6 linked regions of the Oryzias latipes genome follow. The protein of the gene in region 1 purifies or fractionates together with the protein of each later gene. This does not show direct contact. Links are inferred from orthologs where the notes say so. Each region holds a gene or a part of one and is shown in the gene's direction. Other genes may lie near its edges.

The links.
Region 2: the proteins of adra1d (region 1) and utrn purify together in Homo sapiens (tandem affinity purification; 4 studies listed by BioGRID and IntAct, with this or other methods). This does not show direct contact. The link is inferred for Oryzias latipes from reciprocal best matches to the Homo sapiens genes ADRA1D and UTRN.
Region 3: the proteins of adra1d (region 1) and sntb1 purify together in Homo sapiens (tandem affinity purification; 4 studies listed by BioGRID and IntAct, with this or other methods). This does not show direct contact. The link is inferred for Oryzias latipes from reciprocal best matches to the Homo sapiens genes ADRA1D and SNTB1.
Region 4: the proteins of adra1d (region 1) and dtna purify together in Homo sapiens (tandem affinity purification; 4 studies listed by BioGRID and IntAct, with this or other methods). This does not show direct contact. The link is inferred for Oryzias latipes from reciprocal best matches to the Homo sapiens genes ADRA1D and DTNA.
Region 5: the proteins of adra1d (region 1) and ctnnal1 purify together in Homo sapiens (tandem affinity purification; 3 studies listed by IntAct, with this or other methods). This does not show direct contact. The link is inferred for Oryzias latipes from reciprocal best matches to the Homo sapiens genes ADRA1D and CTNNAL1.
Region 6: the proteins of adra1d (region 1) and sntb2 purify together in Homo sapiens (tandem affinity purification; 4 studies listed by BioGRID and IntAct, with this or other methods). This does not show direct contact. The link is inferred for Oryzias latipes from reciprocal best matches to the Homo sapiens genes ADRA1D and SNTB2.

The regions. Positions count from the first base shown.
Region 1 is NC_019859.2:14,271,719-14,274,840, reverse strand, and holds the end of adra1d (alpha-1D adrenergic receptor), read left to right. Parts: intron 1-1,356; coding exon 1,357-1,907; 3' UTR 1,908-2,622; downstream 2,623-3,122. UniProt on the Homo sapiens protein: This alpha-adrenergic receptor mediates its effect through the influx of extracellular calcium.
Region 2 is NC_019882.2:8,709,336-8,712,835, reverse strand, and holds part of utrn (utrophin), read left to right. Parts: intron 1-257; coding exon 258-419; intron 420-1,346; coding exon 1,347-1,578; intron 1,579-3,500.
Region 3 is NC_019874.2:10,594,485-10,598,449, reverse strand, and holds the start of sntb1 (beta-1-syntrophin), read left to right. Parts: upstream 1-1,165; 5' UTR 1,166-2,024; coding exon 2,025-2,556; intron 2,557-3,965. UniProt on the Homo sapiens protein: Adapter protein that binds to and probably organizes the subcellular localization of a variety of membrane proteins. May link various receptors to the actin cytoskeleton and the dystrophin glycoprotein complex.
Region 4 is NC_019875.2:27,149,389-27,152,888, forward strand, and holds part of dtna (dystrobrevin alpha), read left to right. Parts: intron 1-188; coding exon 189-197; intron 198-428; coding exon 429-512; intron 513-693; coding exon 694-762; intron 763-3,500. UniProt on the Homo sapiens protein: May be involved in the formation and stability of synapses as well as being involved in the clustering of nicotinic acetylcholine receptors.
Region 5 is NC_019869.2:9,199,866-9,203,365, forward strand, and holds part of ctnnal1 (alpha-catulin), read left to right. Parts: intron 1-1,046; coding exon 1,047-1,130; coding exon of another isoform or gene 1,131-1,148; exon of another isoform or gene 1,149-1,199; intron 1,200-1,839; coding exon 1,840-2,010; 3' UTR 2,011-3,500. UniProt on the Homo sapiens protein: May modulate the Rho pathway signaling by providing a scaffold for the Lbc Rho guanine nucleotide exchange factor (ARHGEF1).
Region 6 is NC_019864.2:27,650,494-27,653,993, forward strand, and holds part of sntb2 (beta-2-syntrophin), read left to right. Parts: intron 1-722; coding exon 723-919; intron 920-3,232; coding exon 3,233-3,423; intron 3,424-3,500. UniProt on the Homo sapiens protein: Adapter protein that binds to and probably organizes the subcellular localization of a variety of membrane proteins. May link various receptors to the actin cytoskeleton and the dystrophin glycoprotein complex.

The DNA.
Region 1 (3,122 bases):
AGGTGAGTGACGGCAGACTTCCACACAGGTGACCTTCGTTGGGTAAATCCTGAGACAGAGAGGCAGAACATGAGAGCAAGGCAGGACAAAGACATGGGACTTGAGCAGGCTGACCAGGCGTAGTCACCGTTAGGAGTTAACGAACTGGCGTCGATGAATGGGCTGGATCTCCTTAAGTGTAGGCAGGTTGATGAGATGAGGTGGTCACAGCTGGTGGAAGTCAGGAGCAGAGCTGAGGGGGCGGGGCTGACCGAGGCACCGTGACAACCCAAAGTCAATTCAGTCGTCATCTTTTCACTATACAGATGCCGTAATGTTTAAGCCAGATGACGTCAGTAATTAGTGATTGTTCTGAGTCAGTCTGAGTCATCATATGTGTGGCAACCACTCCTGCTAATCAGGAGTGAGCTTGTTGCAAGGCCGCCCCTACCATTTGAAAGCAGACTCAGGAGAATCTGTCACACCTTTCAAATGTGCAACGTTAGACCACAAACTTCAATGGAGGCCTCTGATTGGCCAGTTTATAATTAGAATAATTTCCACTTCAGAATAAAATATGAAAAAAAGAAATATGATTAGCAAGAACTGAGTAATGACTAAGTAATAGAATTGTTTTCGTCTGTAGAAGTCTATGGGATTTTGGCTTCTTGGAGCCAGTGGGTACCTTCTATTTGGAATGCGAGGGGGCAGGAGTCACATTGTCCAGTTCTCATATATTATCATTGGCAAAAACCCATAATTTATAACCAATACTTGCGTTTTGGTGTAAGTAAATGCGTTTGTGATACGAGCTATAATGGCACAAACAAGCATTAAAAAGTGTTTCCTCTTAGAGTGTCTGTTATTAAAAATGTCACCTGATGACCCTGACAGGTTGTTACCATGCACCTTAACAGTTTTAAAAAGTAGGTTTAATATGCTGCTTAATATTTCATTACCTCTTATTTTTACAGGCCTCAGCTCTTAAGAGTCATATTTCTGATGAACAAAATGTCCTTTTGCTTTTGTTAATAAAAATGACCAAACTTTGAAGAAAAGATTACCCAAAAAATTAATATGAGGCTGTTGAAGATTTAAAAATAAATAACTAAATCTGGCAAAATACCATAATAGGTTGCTTTGCTGGTAATGAGGTTGATGGCAGAGGACCCACTATCATCAATAATTCCAAAAATAGAAACTTTTAAAAAATTTAGATCATGGTTTCTTTATGACTTATAAAATATTTAGATTAAAAAAAAAAAGAACTTATCTGAATGAACTATCCAACATGTAAATCTAATGTATAAAGTGTCCTTACTCTGCAAAGATTTGGCTTCAGTTGATGCTAATCCTCATGTTTCCATCCCTTTCAAGGTTCCGTCTTCCCAGCACTGAAGCCCTCTGAAACTGTGTTCAAGGTGGTGTTTTGGCTGGGATACTTCAACAGCTGCATCAATCCAATGATCTACCCCTGCTCTAGCAAAGAGTTCCAGCGAGCATTCATTCGACTGCTCAAATGCCAGTGCCATCAAAAGCGGAGGGTCCTGCGCCGCTTCTATGACCAGAGGTGGCGGACAGCTGTGAAAGGAATGGCAAGGGATCAGAGGGGAGAATACACACCTGGCTATGCCGTGCATGAATCATGCAGCAGCTCTTTATTGCATAAGAAGAAAGGTTGTTCACTCGGTTTAAAGAGATGGAGCCTTTTTCCGCCTCTGCAGAACTCCTCCTTTCAGTTTAAGGAAAAAGTCAACAATCTGTCCAACAAGATCAAGGGAGGGACAGGAAAAGGAGCCACACCTGGCGGGGGCAGGAGGGACACTGTGGACACAGTTTCAATGGGAATCTGCAATTCTTGTGAGCAGGGCAGTTTTCAGTTCTATGATCTGGCAGAATGTCACGGCCTGAAAGAGACCGACATTTAGAGTTCTCCCTGCAGAGAGTTATTTATTTTCAAAGTGGCCATTCTTAAACAATGTGCAAATAAGACTGTGAGCAGGCACACATTCTGAGAGTTTCACAAAATTATCTAAAATTCTTCACTATGACTTTTCTTAAAATGAAATATTTTGTGAAAGCCAGGTTGTGGAGATCACAACAGTAGCAAACCTATCAGACTGGTTGTTGTGATTTTAAGGCACCATGTGTCTGTGTCATAAAATCAGTGTTTGGATTAGGTACAAAAGAAAAACACAATGAAAAACTAGAAAGAATGCACAAAAAATTCAATTTTATTTCCTTTTGTTTGAATAAAACTGTCTTTTTGGTTTCAAAGGTTAGTGTGTTGACCCTATGTGATGTGGAAAATGATTTGCTTTATATTTTTTTTTTATTTAAAGACAGTAAAGCATTTTATTGACAAGACTGCTGAGTGCAATTTCTATTGTTTGTATCAAATGTGATATCAAACGTGAAATTTCACACTGGACTCAATTTGATCATGTGCATTCTTTAACATTTTGAGAAGGTTTTGTGAGCAAAAAAGGTTATCGAAGAATGAAAATTCTTAACTTGATTTATTTTGTAGGATTCATGGGGAACAATGAAGTAAAACTTGTAAATCCAAATAAGCTCTAATGTGAAATACATGTACTTTTTTGATGCTATGATTATGAATAATAAAAGCTAAATAAAAAAAAGGTAAAGAAGTCCAATTAAATCAGGATTTTTGTTCAGACAAAATACACCAAAGCACCCTGTTTAAAACATAAATCTGCCCTATCCTGAAGATAGGGCATGCACAATTCTTCCCATTGGTTCCTCCTTACCATTAAATCCAACCAATACATTTTTTTATTTTAAAATAGAGTAAATTCAAGACCTGAATGTGTCAGAGATTTTCTAACAAAACCTCAATACTGTGGGAATTGTACAACCAACTCTTTTTAGCTGAAGCTGCAAGAACAGAAAGGGCATTATCAATCAATCTTAATCGCTTCCTGTTATTAGGTTGATCCTAGCAAGAGTACTCTGATCTTTTTCTGTCCAGAGGGGGAGGAGTCAGGCTCTTACTTTGCAGTCACTTGAAATTTTTTACTGAAACCAAGACTAACATATAAAAAAACAGGTTAAATTGATAAGGGAAGTAAAACAGAATAAATACCAAGCAACAATGGACATGTTATTTGATATTAGGGCAG
Region 2 (3,500 bases), on another chromosome or scaffold:
AATTACACAGATTATTTAACTGTTCTTTTTTAATTGATTTGTTCTGCCTCAAAACTAGAGAGAACTTTTTTTTTTCTCTGTGTTTTTCTTCAGTGGCCCTTGCTTTGTCACTTGGGAACCTAAATAGTTCAACATTCTGCTAAATTTTGCCTTTTCTTTTAAAGAGCTGCATGCTCTTAACCGAACAGACTGAGACTGCGAAGTGACGGACAGAAACAAGATGCCCTTGCTCATCGCTGACTCTCTGCTGTCCACAGGGATGATGAACATGCCCTCATCATTCAGTACTGCCAGACTCTGGGAGGGGAAGGCTCCCTGAGCAGCCAGCCTCAGAGTCCTGCCCAGATCCTTCAGGCTGTGGAGAAGGAGGAAAGAGGGGAGCTGGAGAAGATTATTGCTCGTCTGGAGGAGGAGCAGAGGTGAGCACCAGAGATGTGAAATACCAGAGGAATATTGCACACTTTGGGATAATCGTCTTAAAATGGATGGTCGTTTTTCAGATGATAACTTGATCTGAAGTTACCAGATTTTAAAAATGATGTACTCTTCAGACCTTTCCTGCTACAGAATTTACAGGCTGATTGCAAAGAGGTAGTTTTTCACTAAAAATGGGTAATGTGACTCTGTTCCCAGACAAAGTTTGGGGCTTTTTTCTGGCTTGCATGGATGCTTTCTGAAAAAAAACTGTGCTTCCAATGGAGTGATTTACCATTCACTTTTCCTGAGAGTGTTATAGAGACGAAGAGCTTTGCTGCCAGGTTCACAAGTGCCATCTTACGTAAAACACTGGAGTTGACGGTTCTGAGATTAAAGATCTTGAGGTGCAAGGAGACAGAATGTGGGTTTTTTTTCCACTAAAAGCAATCCACTGCTTAAAAGAAAAGGAAGTACGTGCTAGAGGGATAAAATTTGTTTATGATTCATTAATTTTCCAATTTTTCCTTCATCATTTAGAGTACAATAACATGTTCTGTCTTCACGGGTTAAGAAAAATATGAATTCTTAATTTCAGTTTTGCTTACACATGTGTGTTTCTTCTTGTTACATACTTGTCTCATAGAGTGTGCATATTCAATAGTAATGTCTCTATATTGTTAATTATTGCACATTTTGTTGTGTAAACAAATGAGATAATGTTGCTCAGATTATTGTTGTCAAACTTACATGTGGTTCTGCAGAGATCGAGTAGATAATGATGTTTTGCGGCGCACATCCTTTGGCAGTGTTTGATCAAAGATCTACTACATGACTGTAATAGAAAGCAAATAAACAAAGTAAATAAGTGGAAAAGCTATTCTTCCTGTTTCACTTTACAACCTTGTTGATTTTTTTCCCTGTTTTCTCAGGACACTGCAGAGAGAATATGAGCTGTTAAAGGAGCAGCATGGCCAAAGAGGGGCCCCGTCTGGAAGCCTATCCGAGGCTTCCTCAGCCCACCCCGACGAGGCCGACCTCTTAGCCGAGGCCAAGCTGCTGCGGCAGCACAAAGGTCGGCTGGAGGCTCGCATGCACATCCTGGAAGACCACAACAAGCAACTGGAGTCTCAGCTCCACCGCCTCCGACAACTGCTGCACCAGGTGACCCTCTGCTCAGTTTAGAAGATGGAGATTGTGGAAACATTCCAGTTTTAAGACTTCTGTCAAAAGGTTTTTCAATCTTGAGGAAATTGGAGCTGGAGTAGAAGATTGGCACCATGCATTTTTAAAATAAAATAAAAGGACCAAAAATAATATAAAAAGTCTTAAGAGGAAATGTCGTGGATAAATACAGAAATGATTAAAAATCTTAGTTAATTTTTCCAACTAACTAAATAATGATTTAATACAAAGTCCAACTTTAGTTTCGTTGATTGAAATGTATTTTTTCCCTACATTTTAATTTATTCTCTAAACAGCAGTTTTTATATTACTGCAGAAAAGTCTTTAACATTATTATAATTGCAGCCTCACCTGCAGACTAATAACTATCAATATATGCAAAACTATCTATTTGCTAATCCCAAAGTTTCCTTTTTGTTCATATTTAATTAAGAATTTCTCTTACTAATGCACAGAAATGCTTTATCCACTTCAGCTTTTGAATCTAATAGGATTTATGAATCAAGTGCTTTATTTCAAACTCTAAATAAAAATGTATAGATTAAGACAAGGTGTGATAATGTCAATTTAAACCTTACATTGCTCCTCATTAAAGCACAGGTTTATTCTGGTGGTCTCATCTGTAGCAAATATGTTTTCATGGTTATTTAGTTGCAGTACAGGTTGCATTCTCAGAAGTTACATGGAACAGATACATTTACCTCAAGTAATTATTACTTATTTCAACCACATTTTCTTCAACTTTGTCTATAAAGTACTTTTTTTTTTTTGAAAGGAGCAAGTAGAAAAGGGCACACCCGTGCATTCACTCAGTCAGACAAGTATTGTACTTCAAAACAGTTCTATATAAAAAACAATCTAATTAAATGAACCCCTGTTGAAGATGGATGTTCTACATTGAGGAGAGTTTGTCCTATAAGCAAGTCTTCATCATAAACATAGACTGAACTTACAATCATCTCCCACGTCTAAGTGGTACTTTATGCCTTCAGCTCCCAGGCTGCATTATTTCATTAACAGTCACTCCATTCCCCTAAATATGTCTTCCTAAAGTTAGATTGTTCAGCTCCAGTCCTGATAGATCAGAACAGAAAACTGTGGTGCCAGGGAGCTGTGGGGCAAAGCACTAAGTCATAACAATTGGGGGGTGGGACCATGTAACAAAGCCCATTTTTAAAGGGCGATGAGGAACCCTTGACCCTTTTGTGTGGAATAGCATTCACCGCATTAGACATTTCTGAATTTAGAAGAAAAGGTTCAGAATTTTTAAGATAAAATTACTTATTGGGATACATTTGCTTTATATGATTTAATGTATTTTGTTTTTTTAAATTACATAATTTAAATGTTTGGGCTCATATTGGAAGTCCTTAATCTAAAAACTATATACTTTGAGGTTTCTGATGTATTTTAAGGACATATTTGATGTGACTTTCACCTCAATCATATTTGGAATAAAACTGCTATATATTTAACCCATAATTCATTTACTGTACCTCTGCAGCTTAAAAACAATGAAAATTATGTTTTTGGTGCTTTTAACATGTTCTTAGCATTTTATTGATGATGGAAGGCATATATAAAGAAAATTGAGATTAAAACTGCAATTGTGTTTTTTTCAAATAGTGGTGATTCAGGAGAGGTAAAATAAATACAGTTGGGAAAGGATCGTTTTTGTTACGTAGAAAATACTCTGGGTGGGCCACCAGCTCCCTGTTCAACTCCATTCTGATGCATCCACCTGCAGATCCATATATGTTCTAATGGTTCTAATGTGTTGGAAAGGTATCTTCTGTGGTTCTTATTTGAAAGTGCATCCCCCCCCCGCATCGTCCATCTCCCTTTGAAATCCAGACCATCCACATCATTGCAGACTCTGTAATACAGTTGGTATTCTGAGG
Region 3 (3,965 bases), on another chromosome or scaffold:
ATCATATTTCATAATGCTGAAATTTCTTTGTTTTGAGAGTCATTAGAGAAGAATGTGCATTTCATCCACTGGCTAATTTCCACATAAAAGTATAGATCAATTAAAGTCTAACACCTCATTAAACCAAATATTTTTGTTTCTAAAAAAAGTTGTTCAATGCACTCTGTGCAGTTCAGCAGGAATTATTTCATGTCACAAAGACTCCCATCCTGATTCAATGCACACTATATAAACAGTATGAAAAACAGTCCTTATCTTTATAGCAGGTCCTTAAACATAATGCAGAAAAAAGTTTCATTTTAAGGGAAATGTGCAGGTGATGTTGGCCCTACATTCCTGACCAGAACCACCGACTCACTCGAACATGAAAATGTTCCTTTGCTTTGAATATTTGCCTTATGTACTCTAGTCTACAAAATACAGAAATGTGTTTTTTAATGGGATACTTTCTAAATCTAAGCAAGCATAAAACATGTCAAATAAAGTTTAAAAAAAGAGAGGCTGGATCCTGCAGACTAACAACACAGTTAGCGTGACTGCTATGACTCCAACAGGAGAAAGAGAAACGTAAGAGAACTGTTGTTCACTGACTCCATTATAAGCATTGTTGGGTCCGTCTCTTTGACTTAATTGCTACTTTTAGATGGAAGGAAACACTTTATTTTTCAAAATAAAATGTTTATGTGTAAAATACTGTGTTATTTAATCCTGCAAGACAAGAGATTGACATTTGCAAATAAATATTAAAAGGAAGACTCCTTTCAATCATGGACAACCCAGAGCATCCTCTCCACCCTGTTCTGGACAAACAGCGGAGCTCCTTCTCTAGGAGGCTCAGACAGCTCCGCTCCAAAACTGCCCGGTACCAGAAATCGTTCATACCCAATGCAATAACCCTGTACAACAAGTCACAATGCAAAAGATAACCTTTGCACAGTTTTTATTAGCTATTTATTTATTTATTTTTTCTATTTTGCACATTTCTTTTGCACATCTTTTTACCTGCACTGTTCTGTAAATAGCTTTTTAAATTATACCACCTTGTTTGCATTTATGCTACATTTTCTTTGTTCTTGTTTTTTTAAATTATTCTTAGTCTTTTTTCCCCTCTGCTGTCAGTTGCTATGGTGACAAACAAATTTCCCACGTGTGGGATCAATGAAGTATTTCTGATTCTGATTCTGATAATCTTTGAATGAAAGCCATTTTTGTGAAGTGACCAGCAGGTGTCATTGAAACCTTGATGTAAAAAAAAAGTTTTCAGGAGTTTCTTAGATGAAACTTCAGTTTTGGGCTGACAACTTGACTATTTTTGGCTTTAAAAACCCACAGAAATGCCCTTTAATTTCAAAGTTTTTCTGGTAACTAATAAATACTGTAGTTTATGTTTAGAGAACCATATTTCCCCATAACATGGGAAATTCCTTTTTTTTTAGATGCTTCAACAAAAGTCAGTGCACTCATTCTTGGAAACATCTAAACTAGGGGGTTAGATTCATTCTTGTTTCCACATGTTTGATGTAAACCATTTATGACCATGAGGGCTCAAAATCAATTATAGTTAAAGAAATTTAAAGATCTGACAAAGTAAAAATGTGTGGGTTTTTTTTTTTTTGGTCCTGTGAAGTTCCTGAGTTCAAATGAAACAGAAGTCTGACGTAAAATAAGAATGTCATACATCTTTAAAGGAATACTTTGACTTGTTGTTCTCCCTGAAAGTCGAGTGAAGGACATGAACGTAATGCTTTTGCACTCACAGCTTCAGGCTCAGAGCCAGTCGCGCGCACTTGAGAGATGATGAACAATGTTTGCGGGAGCTGAACATGGGAAAACTCCTCCCCGCAAAGAGGATCTCCGGGCTGGCGGACTCAGAGAGGGATCTGTGAGGCTGCGCTGACAAATCCCACGGAAAACTTCACGGAGGACGAAGTCCAGCCTGATCTGGAGGAAGTCGGGGTGTCGGTGATTGGGTGAGAGCGCGCTGGGAACTTAATCACATGTGATTTTACAGAAATGCTGCAAAGATGGCGGTGGTAGCAACGGCCGGAGTTGCGAGCGCCGGCTCTGGGGCGCAGAAAAGTGGATTCGCGGAGGTTCTGGTGCGGGAGAGCTGGCACAAAGTTTTGGTCAACTTGAGCGTGGACGCGCTCACGCTGAGCTGCGAGGACGACGGCGCACAGGACAACTTCAACGGCGTCACAAATGGATCTTACCTTGATAACAGGAACGCCAACTCAAATAATGGCCCCCAGGCGGTGCGCACCGCGTTCACGGACCTCCCGGAGCGAGTGCCAGAAGCGATCGCCAACAAGAAGCGGTGCGTCAAGGTGACCAAGCAGGAAGTCGGGGGACTCGGGATCAGCATTAAAGGAGGGAAAGAGAACAAAATGCCTATTCTCATTAGTAAGATCTTCAAGGGGCTTGCAGCAGACCAGACTCAGTCTCTGTATGTCGGGGACGCCATCCTCACCGTGAACGGCATGAACCTGCGGGACGCGACCCACGACGAGGCTGTGCAGGCGCTAAAACGAGCGGGGAAGGAGGTGACTCTGGAAGGTAGGTCAGAAAGGAGGACAGGGAGTCCCAGGCTTTTTTTTAGATTTCCTTTACCTGCATGCACATTCCTAAATTAATGGCTATGCGGTTCCAAAAGTGCCTTAATCCTGTTTAAATGACCACTTGTTGAAAGCAGGGACGGACATAAGCATGGGCGGGGGGCGGGGGGGAAGTGCCCCACAAATGAGGTGACTGTCCCCCCAAAATTCAAAATCAACTACAAAGAAGATGGAAAAAAAGACAAAATACAAATAAACAACCCCCCTCCCCACACACACAAAATAAATAATTACAAATGTAAGAAGAAGAAAAAAAGATTCATGTCGCACAAGATGCATATTGCTACATTGCCCGGCCCGCACGTGTTTTAAGTACGATCAGTGCTACATTTTGATGTTGGTCGCACATTTTTTTAAGGGGTAATTGTAAAACAGGAATGATCACCAACTGGCACATAGAATATTTAAAGTTTGTGTACATTAAGCCACATAGGCTCAGCATTCAAAATAAATGCGAGCAAGAAAACAGTTCAGCACGGCCCTCACATGGTTTAGAAATTACGTGTGTATAGTCACTTCCAAAAATAAAAGACAAAAAAAACATGTAAGGATGGGCAGATGGACAGACAGACAAATAGACATAAAAAAAAAGATAAATGCTTCCTCAACCAGTGTTCTGCTTGTGCCTGTCCCAAGCCCGGTAAATGGAGTACGTAGTGTCAGGAAGAACATTCAACATAAATCTCAGGAAACATATAAAAGGAGAAGATAGATACATGGATAGATGAACTGATATGATGACAGCATAGTTTTCAAAGCTAACGAGGAAGCAACAAAATGTTGCAGTACCTCAAATGACCAGAGAGGCTTGTGCTTAGAGGGAGCAATTTCCCATTAATGCCACCCCTTAAAATGAACCCCTTTAATGCCTGGTGACATCAATGGTTTCATATTTAATACATAAATGGTATTTTCAGATGATGGTTGTGGTGGATTCTGGATACAGAGCTTGGATGTTTAGCTCGTTTCCTCCATTTTAGCTTTAGCATCTACTATATATTTGGGTTTATGTTGAGAGGTAAACTGTTTTAACACGCTCTCTGGGAGTCCTCTGTTATCTTTTTTCCAGTAAGTACTAAATAAACTACTTTATATTTCATGTAAATACTCGTAAAAAATATTATGATCATTTCTGTTTGTTTCAATAATATGATTGAACTTTTTTTTTTAAATGTCCTTCCATTAATATCTTTCATTAGTTATTTTGATTTGTAATGTTAAAAAGTTTTACATTTCCCTCGTATTATAATTTATGTTGTTTTCTTGTATAAAGGTTATAATACATAACGACAGGATTCAGAAATTCTACAGTAAATTTTAAAATCTATTGATGTAAAGTGACAGAAATCA
Region 4 (3,500 bases), on another chromosome or scaffold:
CCAGACAACCCAAAACCCCATAGCACCTGAACAGGCGCATGTGACAAAGGCATAGCTAAGGTTTACTTTCTACATTCTCAGATTAGTAAAACTGTTTGTTTTCACTCTCTTTTCTTGGATTTTGACTAATTTCTGGGCAAATGTTTAATCAAATATTGCTTCCCTTGTTCTTTACTTTCCTCAAAAAGAGACACGTGGTGAGTTGGTTTCGATTATTTTACCCACTCGTGTGCTTTTTCATTGCTCTCAGTTTGTAATCAATCATCCACTGTGAAAAAAAGCTTTGTTTAATCATTCATTTACACATGCATGTTGCATACGTGATACATAACCAGTCATCTTGTATCATCCTGTGTCCACTGAAATGCAGATTTTTGAAAAAGATGCTTTGTTTGTTTAAATTTAAAGCAGCATTATTTCCTGTTCAGGCCACCGAGACCAGTGAACATCGCCAATGAATACTTGTTCTCACACTCCATGCCTACATCAGGGAACCCTTACTCCACCAAAAAGTGAGTACAGCCAGGTTAACAATAGATGCCCTGGATTTTATAACACATCTTTTATGTTTGTCGTGATCCCTAAAGGCCCCGTGTCCATGCGACCCGCGCCGTCTTTTATTTTCCTCCCTTTATTTGTGTTTAACCCCTTTTTGTTGCTCCTTGAGCTGAAAGTAAATGGCTTGCCTTGCAGCAAGAATAATGATGTTACACAGAGAAAGCCCCTGACGGGGGCCGCTCCTCATCTGTTGAGAGGGAAAGGGTAAGTGACACAGGTGTGCAAATCCATGTGTGGACTAATATAGGTAATAACTGCTCGGCATGGAGTAGAGTGCTTATGTTTCTTGGAAAACTATTAGCTTCCTTGTAGACAAGGGTTTACTCTGCTGTTCTCATGGGGCTAGTTCATGAAGATTGTTTGCCATAAGTTTGGAGTGTCTATTTTCAAGCTTTTCATTCACTCAGAAATGTAAAAAAACTAACTGGCGGCTCATACGATTAAGCACTGAATGCTACTATTAGTCTCTGCTGGGGTTGAGGTTTTCTTTGCTGTCGCTTAGAAAAAACTGTGTGCTTGTTCCGATGAAGTGGGACTCCTTTAGTCTTTTAGTTGCTTATTAACGTAGCTTTTTTGAAGATTGACTTGAGATTAATGGCAGTACTTGAAACTCCTCAATGGCTGCACCTGTCATGTGCGGTTCTTTGGGAAACACTGCTCCCTTTCATAACCTAAAGAAAGTCCTTCTGATAATGTAAGGAGGGAGTAGCACTCTTTTAAGTACATAGCTGGAAGAATATTTAACACAAGGCTCAAGAAAATGTATCAGAAAATACTTTGACTTTCATTCCTAAACTTAGAAAATGTTGAATTTCAGATTTTTTCATGAATGTCCTCTGTTGAGCCACTACATGGTTCAAGCTGACGAGAGATCTGACTCATACACTTTACGTGACCTGTTTCTAGCACACAGAGCAATTCATTGCACATGTTTTGTTCCTTCAATCAACAATTAATGCTTCAAAATAGAGTATCAGCGATGCACAGTGTTCCAAAAACAGCAGTGTTTTCCACAGTTTTTACTAAGATTTTTTTTCTGCTTATTTTCTTTGTTGCTCACAAGCTTAGTCATCCTGAGTCATTGGTTTTACTCACCCTGCAGCTTGTTGTTTGTTTAATCTCTTATTAAATTCAAAAAGGAGGTTGCTAAAACGGTGCTTGTTTTAGTGTCATCCTCACCACACTTAACATGTTCTGGGTCTTAGGTTATTAAGTCAGTTTTGTTACATGAGGACATTGTTGTTTTTCAGGCGTCACAAAAGCAGGAATCCTGCAAAACACATGTATTGTGTGTATTTTGGCATCCAGGAGATAATTGCTGGATATATTTGAAGCTGTTGAGAAGTATGTAACACGCTTGGGCACATATCGTTGGAAATAAATTTCTTTATCAAGGATAAATTTAAATATTTCAATCATTCTATCTATACAAGCAACAGCTTATGTTTGATGTCTATAAAACCTATAAAATGATCATAGGATAGCTTTCTGCGTAAGGCCTTAGTCAGGATTGACCGGTACGCATGCTGCAGGTTATAGGGTTGTACCTTAAACTGTGCTAAAACAATCTAATGGCAGCTTGAATTATTTAACAAATCAAATAAATCCCTTTATGCATTTGACCGCGGATGCGGATGCCCGCCTCCAATTTAGACTAGGGTCATTTGAAGTGTAATTTAAGGTGTGTTGACTCTTATTTGAATTAAACTGTTGCAGCAAAATAGAAATGACGTTTTTAGTTGTTTTGCTATGTGTACATGTATCGCAAGGTGTATCGTCATCACAATATTGATCACTGATAACGCAATTTGCGAGTTTTCCTCATATTGTGCAGCCCTAACCTCAAGGCATGTGATAAAAGTGGAACATACCATTTTTGCACGTGTGGCAAATATAGTGTGAAGTTTTTTTGTCGAGCGGTGCCCCACGCCACACTATAGTCGGTGGTAAGGTGCGAGTACCGGCTATCTCCTGACCAATTACAAATGCTGCATGCATGGACTGTGCACGTGAAACAGTAGGTTAGTGCCTGTAGGACGCCCATAGGACACCCACATAAACTGCACCCTGTCTCGTTTTCTAGTTTCTAACAGGCAAGCTGCAGGGGTGTGCACTTCTCATTTGAACTGCACTAACCGGCACCTTGCGCAGTCCACAGGCTTTGGGGGGTGGAGAAATAAAAAATCAGTCGAAAAAAATGGGCACGAACATTTTCGCTCTATTGACTCAATGAGCGACTTATGACTTTAACATTTCATGCAGGCCACCTGCACAGGTTTGCCCGTTTTTCACCTGCAGACCGTCCGAATCCACCCGTAAGGCCAGCTGTGACTAAGGCGTAAGCTTTGGTGTGACCGTTAGACTTTATGTGTTTCAAAACAATGTTTTTATTGATCTTATAAAACATCTTCTGGTTTAAAAATTACATAGCAGAGCTTTTGATATGTATAACAATGATTTGATGGCCATCTTTTTATTAATTAACAAAAGAAAAAGTGTCATTACTGCTGTAAAACAGCAGCCATCCAACTTTAGTATTAGATTATCCAACATATTAATAAGATATGAAATAATTAAACCTAATTGCTATTGTGAATTTTTAACATCACTGGAAAACATTGAATTCATTGAGGCAGAACTTACTTTTTATGTTATTTTATAACATAATCAAAATATTAGTGGGAAATAGTTGAAATAGGCTAAAGCTAAAGGATTAACTATTGTTGGATTAGTGCTAAAGTCCTTACAGAGCATAAATGTGGGAAATCTTTGGGAAGCATGCAGTCAAAATGTTACTGCAGCTAGATTTACAACTATAGTGGTTGACATTTTTAGTCACCACATAATGTTTCAATGTCAAACAGTTTTGTTTAAATAACAAAACATCAAGAGATTATGATATTATTTTTATATATTTTTTGTCCATGTTTTATATATATTTT
Region 5 (3,500 bases), on another chromosome or scaffold:
ATTAGTTTATCAAGTCAAATAGACTTTCCGCTGAAGTATTTTATTGTTATTTCCAGTGCTTTATAGCATTCAACCAATTATTATTAGAATAATCATCAACTGAAACTTTATAATTAAAGGGAATGACTGTTTTGCTTTGAAATACACAAATTATTTTTCCAGAGAAACGTTTGGCTTGTAGAAACCTAATTTGGCCGGTAAACTTTGGATGTTACCGGCGTCCCGACTGGTAACCAAAAAAGTTCATCTAGAATTTTAGGTAATTCCACCTTTGTAGGAGCAATAAAGTTTTTTTTCCAGTCTATATATTGTAAGGACAGTGAAAAGAAGCTACCCCCCTTGTTAGTTATTTTTTAGTTATTTTATAATTGTTTAGTTTTAAAACTGTTCAAGTGTTTGTGGGTTCATTACAAACCGTGTAGTACTGTAAATGGCCAGCAGGTGGAACTAGCGCCGTCGAGTAAGAATGACGTCATGCTGGAGCGAAGGGCAGCATGAATGAGAGGGAAAGAAAAGAGATCTGAGGAGCACTGAGAGTTTGTTTTTCCAGAAAAAAATAACCCACATGTATGTGCTTGCATAAGCTGCTTTACTTGGAAAAACCCGTGAGTAAAACTCACAAAATGTGCAGTGGTGTGCTGTTCATTTAAAGTGTGCAACAATATTCTGCCCAGACCAAATTCCGATGGAATTCTGTTTCAATATGTAGCAATTTTCTTTCAATAGGAGGCAGTAAATATCTTTAATATCATAGAAAGGCTAAATCAACATTCAGAGACCTTAATTAAAGCATGTGTGAACATCTACTTTCATTAGGCGCAAAACAAATGAACAGACATTTGATCTGGCAGTTTAAACACTTTTACAATATTTAACGTTTTATATTTCCCACCAAAGCCCGCCATCAAAAGAGGGAAAAAAGAAAGAAAAAATACCTTTAAACATATCAACTGCTAATGTAAAAGCTTGGGTAAATGAACCCAATTCAATCAATCTGAAACATTTAATTTTAAGCGAAAATGTCTTTTCTTTGTATTTGTCTGCAGGTGGACTCCACCATTCAAGCAAGCAGAAGTCTAATGACAGTGGTCGCCTCCCTCCTTCCACTCTGTAACAAGCTCATCAAAAAGGTGACATCCAGACACTAAACTGAACACTAAACTCTTTAAAGTGCCACTTTAAATCCATCTTTTGATCTATTCTAAAAGCCCTCCCAGTGGTCTTTTAATTATAGTTGTGTTGTTTTTAGACAAAATCATAAAACCTGTGTCGTTTTCTAGGACATAGTTTCTGCAGAGCAGAAGGAGTGCGTTAAGAATTCACCTCTGAGTTATAGCTGTGAATGTCTTTCCTGTTCTCTCCCAGCTATCCAGCCGTACATTTTTGAACCAGATGTCACTTTGGACAAGGAAAACAAAGACGTACACGGATCAATTTGTCTACAAGTGGATGCATCAGAATGGAGCAAAGCAGGAAGCTTGTGAACCGCAATCTTATTCCAACGGCATTTTTCCGTCTGCTCCTGATTCACAAAAGCTTGAATAAAAACTCAGAAATACAATTTTAATCTGAAGATTTATATATATATATGTATATATATATATATATAGATATAGATATATATATAGATATGTATGTCCCTCATTATCAGAAAAATGCCACAGGAACATATTAAAAACACCAAAAAGACCATTTTCATAGAACTGGGTCTAATGAAAAATATCCCAAAACACAAAGATGCCGTCTAGAACAACATTCACTTCATTAAGTTCTCAGTTGGGGGAAAAGCATCAGTGTTTAAATGTCTTTGTCCCCTAATCAGAATCTCCTCTGTTGCAGCATAAATCAGAGCGTACAAGCCTCAGTTCCCCTCAGGACTGGAGGGAGACGCAGCACACGTCCGCTCCAGTTAAAAAAGACGCGGCCCTGAATGGCAATAACAGCAACGGCTTTGGAGTCAAGTCCTTGGACGAGCACATGGCCAGCCTCAACCTACTGGAGAGCAAATAATTCAGGAGATGATCTCCATGTTATCTTGTTCTCCGCATCAGCAAAGCAACCTCACTTCTGTGGAGCACTCCTGATCCAAGAAAGAGTCACTAGAAAAGTGGCTAGAAGCTGTAAAAACAGACTTTGTTGGGCAGAATTTGCCTTAGGTGGAATAATTCTGCAGTTAAAAACATAAAAGCCCAATCTGGAGGTAGTCATGCACTGTTAATCTGAAACAGTTCCATCCCAGTCCACTAGAGGACGACAATCAAAACTACCGGTAGTATTGCGTTTCCAAGAAAAGTGAGGTCATCTTAAATCTAATTTTGGAGTAACCGTCATTAGTTGAGCTAATAAAATGATCAGAAGTCAGGAAATAAAAGCCCCCCTTCAGCCATACATCTGTCTTCACCATGTGCCTCAGTGTAACAGACCTGTGTGCTTTGTGCTGTATTGTTAATGTATTGGACAAGTTACATAAGGACAAAAAAACACACAAGCTACATGATGCAGTCATCACTACAACCTTTGTGCAATCTCAGCCTGGTAACATGAACCTTTTAACTAAATGTTTTATAGTGGCCATACGAGTATTTTACAAGTTCAACTTCATTTGTCATCATTTCACGTGTGATAAGTTCATTTAGCGAAAGAAAATCTGTTCAATGCCAAATATTCTGACTACTGCAAACTAATCAGAAGTGACAGCGGAGACTTTTTTTTTTTACCTTATTTAGGAACGAAAAGGTTAAGTAAAGCTTTTTAACCCTTGTGCTATCTTAGATGACCCCACCCTTACATTGACGTCTTCTCCCTACCATGACTAAGGTGGATAAAGGTGGAAAGATTTCATGTAATCCATGGACACCAGTGAAGATCACAAATCATTGAAGAAAAAAGGTTCAGAGCACTGTCTAGTGGGTCTAGATGACCCAACTCCCAATGGTAAAGTGCCTAGGATAGCACAAGGGATAACGAGAAATTATATCAGATGCTACCGTCTTAAATATTACAGAAATTATTCAGAAGTGCCACGCATTTGTGGATACTGGGAAGCATCTGAACCACTGACTGTAAATGAGGACTGGACTGAGTAACCCCTCCCCCTGGCGTCCCAAACAGGAAGTATCCACTGGTTCCAAGAAACCAAAATCTCATAGACCTTTTATAAAGCACTAGTTAGCATTTTTGTTAGTCAGAATAATCTTTCTTACCCTGATACCTTATTTTTACATAATCTTGATAATTTTATATGTTTTTTTCTTTTTTGCAAGTTATTCAACGTATAAACTGACCAGACACCTCAATAACAGGTAACCCCCCCACATGGAACATTTAACAGATTACCCCCGCTTTAGGTGGTATAATAAGCTCACTCCTGATTGGTTAGAGGGGTTGCCATAGAAACAATGACTCAGATCGACTTGGACCAATCACTTGCTTACTGACAATTTCAGGCTCCAACAGGCAAAAAAATGACTGAATCGACTTCGTTGGAGCCAGAAGTCCTT
Region 6 (3,500 bases), on another chromosome or scaffold:
AACCAAAAAGAAGGACTACAGATGTTTTAGGGACTCCTTGCTACACACTTTATACTCTCCTCTTGGACAGACACAAACATTTTCACACTTTTCTCTCCTTTTTAAACTCTCAAAGCTGATAGAAGAAGAAGAAGAAGTCTACTACTATGGAATGAAAACAAAGACCCCGCAGTGGAACATTTATTCAAATTTGGCAAACTCTACACATTCCATTCAGGAGGTACGGCACAGAGGAGACTAAGTGACAAGGTCAACAGCCAATCAGAATGCAGAACATAATCCTATGTAAAAAAAAACAAAAAAAACATGCAAATTTACACTATAAAAAATCTGGGGAAACAGCAAGACTGCAGAAGGTGGAGCACATTCTAGTGAGGGAACACTGTGTATGAGAAGTCCATGTGAACCTTTCTTATTTCCAATAATCTGCATTTACTGCACAGATTATCACAAGAAAAGCTTTATGTTAATAATATTTTAGCAGTTATATAAATGAAAATGATATAGTTGTGATTTATGTCTACAAAACTTCTCTAATATTAAAAAAGTGGATACAAATTTAGTCTAAAGCGGTCTTCTTAACGCAGAAAGAAGCCTCTTGGTTTGTAAATGTGGCAGCGTGGAGTCAGATCGTGTCTCAAGGAACGATGCTCCATGTTTTTACGCAACCCCTTCAATCCGGTACCTGGCTTCAGGGCGAACCTCCATCCGTGTCTCCTCAGACTGGTCCACTCCGGCAGCTCCGGGGGTTCTCCCTCCCAGGGGTCGGACATGGTGTTTGCCACTCGGACCGGCACCAGTCGAGGCATCGAGTCACACGTCTTCCGCGTGGAAACTCACTGGGACCTTTCCTCCTGGACGCGAGCTCTGGTGCAGGGTGTCCACACGGCTGCAGAGATCATCCAGGAGGTCTCCATTGGTGAGTCTGCAGGTTGAAAGAGACCTGAGTAATCGGATTACTTTTGCATAAAATGTGAATTCAGTGCTCCTCTGTAATGGACACGTTTAAAATCAAAAGATCACATTATGAGGATTTGACTTCCCTCTAAATAGACAAAGTATAGTTCAACTTTAAAGCCTGGAAGATCAATAATGAAGAAAAGGATAAAAGACTCAAGAGAGTGTTTGTGGAACCGCCAGCAGGTTCTGCAGATGCTACAAACACAGGAGCATCTGCAGAACCTGCTGGCGGTTCCACAAACACTCTACAGCTACAGAGCAGCTGATTCAGTTCAGTTTTAGGTCTATAGCCCAAATATTACAACACAGTTGTCTCAACGGGCTTCACTAATTGTACAAAACCTAAAATCAGTCATAAAGTGCAATAGCTGATTACTAAACAGACTCAACGAAACTGGGCATCCCTGCCCTTAGATACTCCTCCGATTAGGTAGAACTCTACAAAAACAGATTCCAGGAAAAAAAAAATGTCCACATGAAGCAGGGATCCTCTCCCAGAACCGTGTGTTTCATTTCTAAGCTGTGGAGCAAACTGTGTCAGATTCAGATCAGTGAGGTGCCGGTTTCAGCCCCGGAGGAGCTGACGGCGTTTGAAAGGACACCACCCACCTCTGCGAAGCTCTGAATTTATGTTATGAAAAGGCTTTTCTGACAGGATAACAGAAAGTTTTCCTGTTAGAAAACTTGGAAAGCATTTAAATAGGAACACAGATTTAGTTTTCTTAAATTGTTGTTTTTATGTTAAGTTTCACTAAACGTCTTTTTGCTATCAGGCTTATTTTCAGAAGTGGTTTAAATTGAAAGCTTTGTTATAGTTGGTGCATAAGAAGTAGTTGTATTTTTTTTTTAAAGACACGGACCGATGAGTTCACTGAGAAAATAATGACAAAGAATCAGGTTCTTGACGTGCAGGGCTAATGGTACGCATGGCTCCTGACATGACTTATTCTAAATTTTGATGCAAATGTTTGTACTTTTACTGCAAATGAATATTGGCCCCACATATTTGGTTACCTGCCATCTTACTGATGATCGGTATCGGCCCAAAAAACACAAAAGAACCTATTTGCAAACATGTCACCTTTGTAAATGACACAGACATGCGTGCTGTGTCAGGAACCACCTGACATGCCCGGTGGCCCCTGTGCACATGTGCTGTTGTTGCTGTGTGCACATCAGCAGCGGTGTGGTTTAACACAGGATGTGGTTTTACATTTGCCCATGACATCATCAGCTTTACCAACAAATATTACAATGCTCTAGTTTTTTCTGGGGTACAAATTTGACAAACTAATCCAGCAGACAATAAAAAAAAAAAGCTTTTTCCTGTAAACATGCAGGTTTTTTTGTGAGGTGAGGTGTGTACAGCAGCAGGAAGCTGCAGAAATCAGTTGTAGCTGTAAAAGCAGCTGCAGAAAGGAGCTACTGAGAGCAGCTGCGGAGAGCTGCATGAAGCAGCTGCAGAGAGCAGCTTCTCTGTGCAGCCACTCTCTGCAGCTGCGGGGAGAAGCTGCAGAGAGCGGCTGCTCTAGGCAGCTGCTCCATGCAGCTCTCTGCAGCCACCTAGAGCAGCTTCTCTGTGCATCTGTTCTCTGCAGCTGCATGGAGCAGCTGCAGAGAGCAGCTTCTCTCTGCAGCTGCGGGGAGAAGCTGCAGAGAGCGGCTGCTCTAGGCAGCTGCTCTCTGCAGCTGCAGGGAGAAGCTGCAGAGAAACGCTGCATGGAGAAGCTGCTTTCTGCAGCTGCACGGAGAAGCTGCTTTCTGCAGCTGCATGGAGAAGCTGCTTTCTGCAGCTGCACGGAGAAGCTGCTTTCTGCAGCTGAAGAGACACACCGAGCCATTGGCCGCCCCGCAGGAACCCAGTAGTTCAGAAAAGCTCGGTCCTCTCAATCCAACACATGGAAATACTTAAAGATCAAATTACCTCACAGGGAGCTGCATCAGGGCAACTGGCTTTTTTGAAAGAGTCGCCGCTGGCTTTAAACAACAGAACAAACTTGTTGTTGTTTTTTTTGCAATAAATAAACTTTTAGCAAAATTTAAAATATTTTTAATTTCAAAGGTTTTCAACACTTTAGTCAATAACCTTTTTTTAATGTTTTATCGAGTTCTTCACCTGACTATAAATTGCCGTTTTTCCCGTTGACATTTATTTGCTCCATTTTTTGTGGTTTTCTTTTGAACTGCTTCACTTTTCTGAATGTATCCTAAAAGCTTGAGGTGAGGAAAGGCGTGGTCGTTCCCACCTTGACCTGTTGCTGTTTTCTGCCAGGCTGCACGCTGAACAGGCAGGACGTTCGACTGACGCTGCACTTCGAGATGGGCTTCACCGTGACGAGGGAGCCGGCCGACCCCCCGGGGGGTGCGGTGCTCTACAGATATCCCTATGAGAAGCTCAAAATGTCCGCCGACGATGGAATACGGAACCTTTATCTTGACTTTGGAGGTCCGGAGGGAGAAATGGTTTGTTTGCGAGAGTCTTTTATTTTTCCAACAAGTGTGAGAAACAGAAAAAGACTTTTTTTGTCTGCGACTCTGCA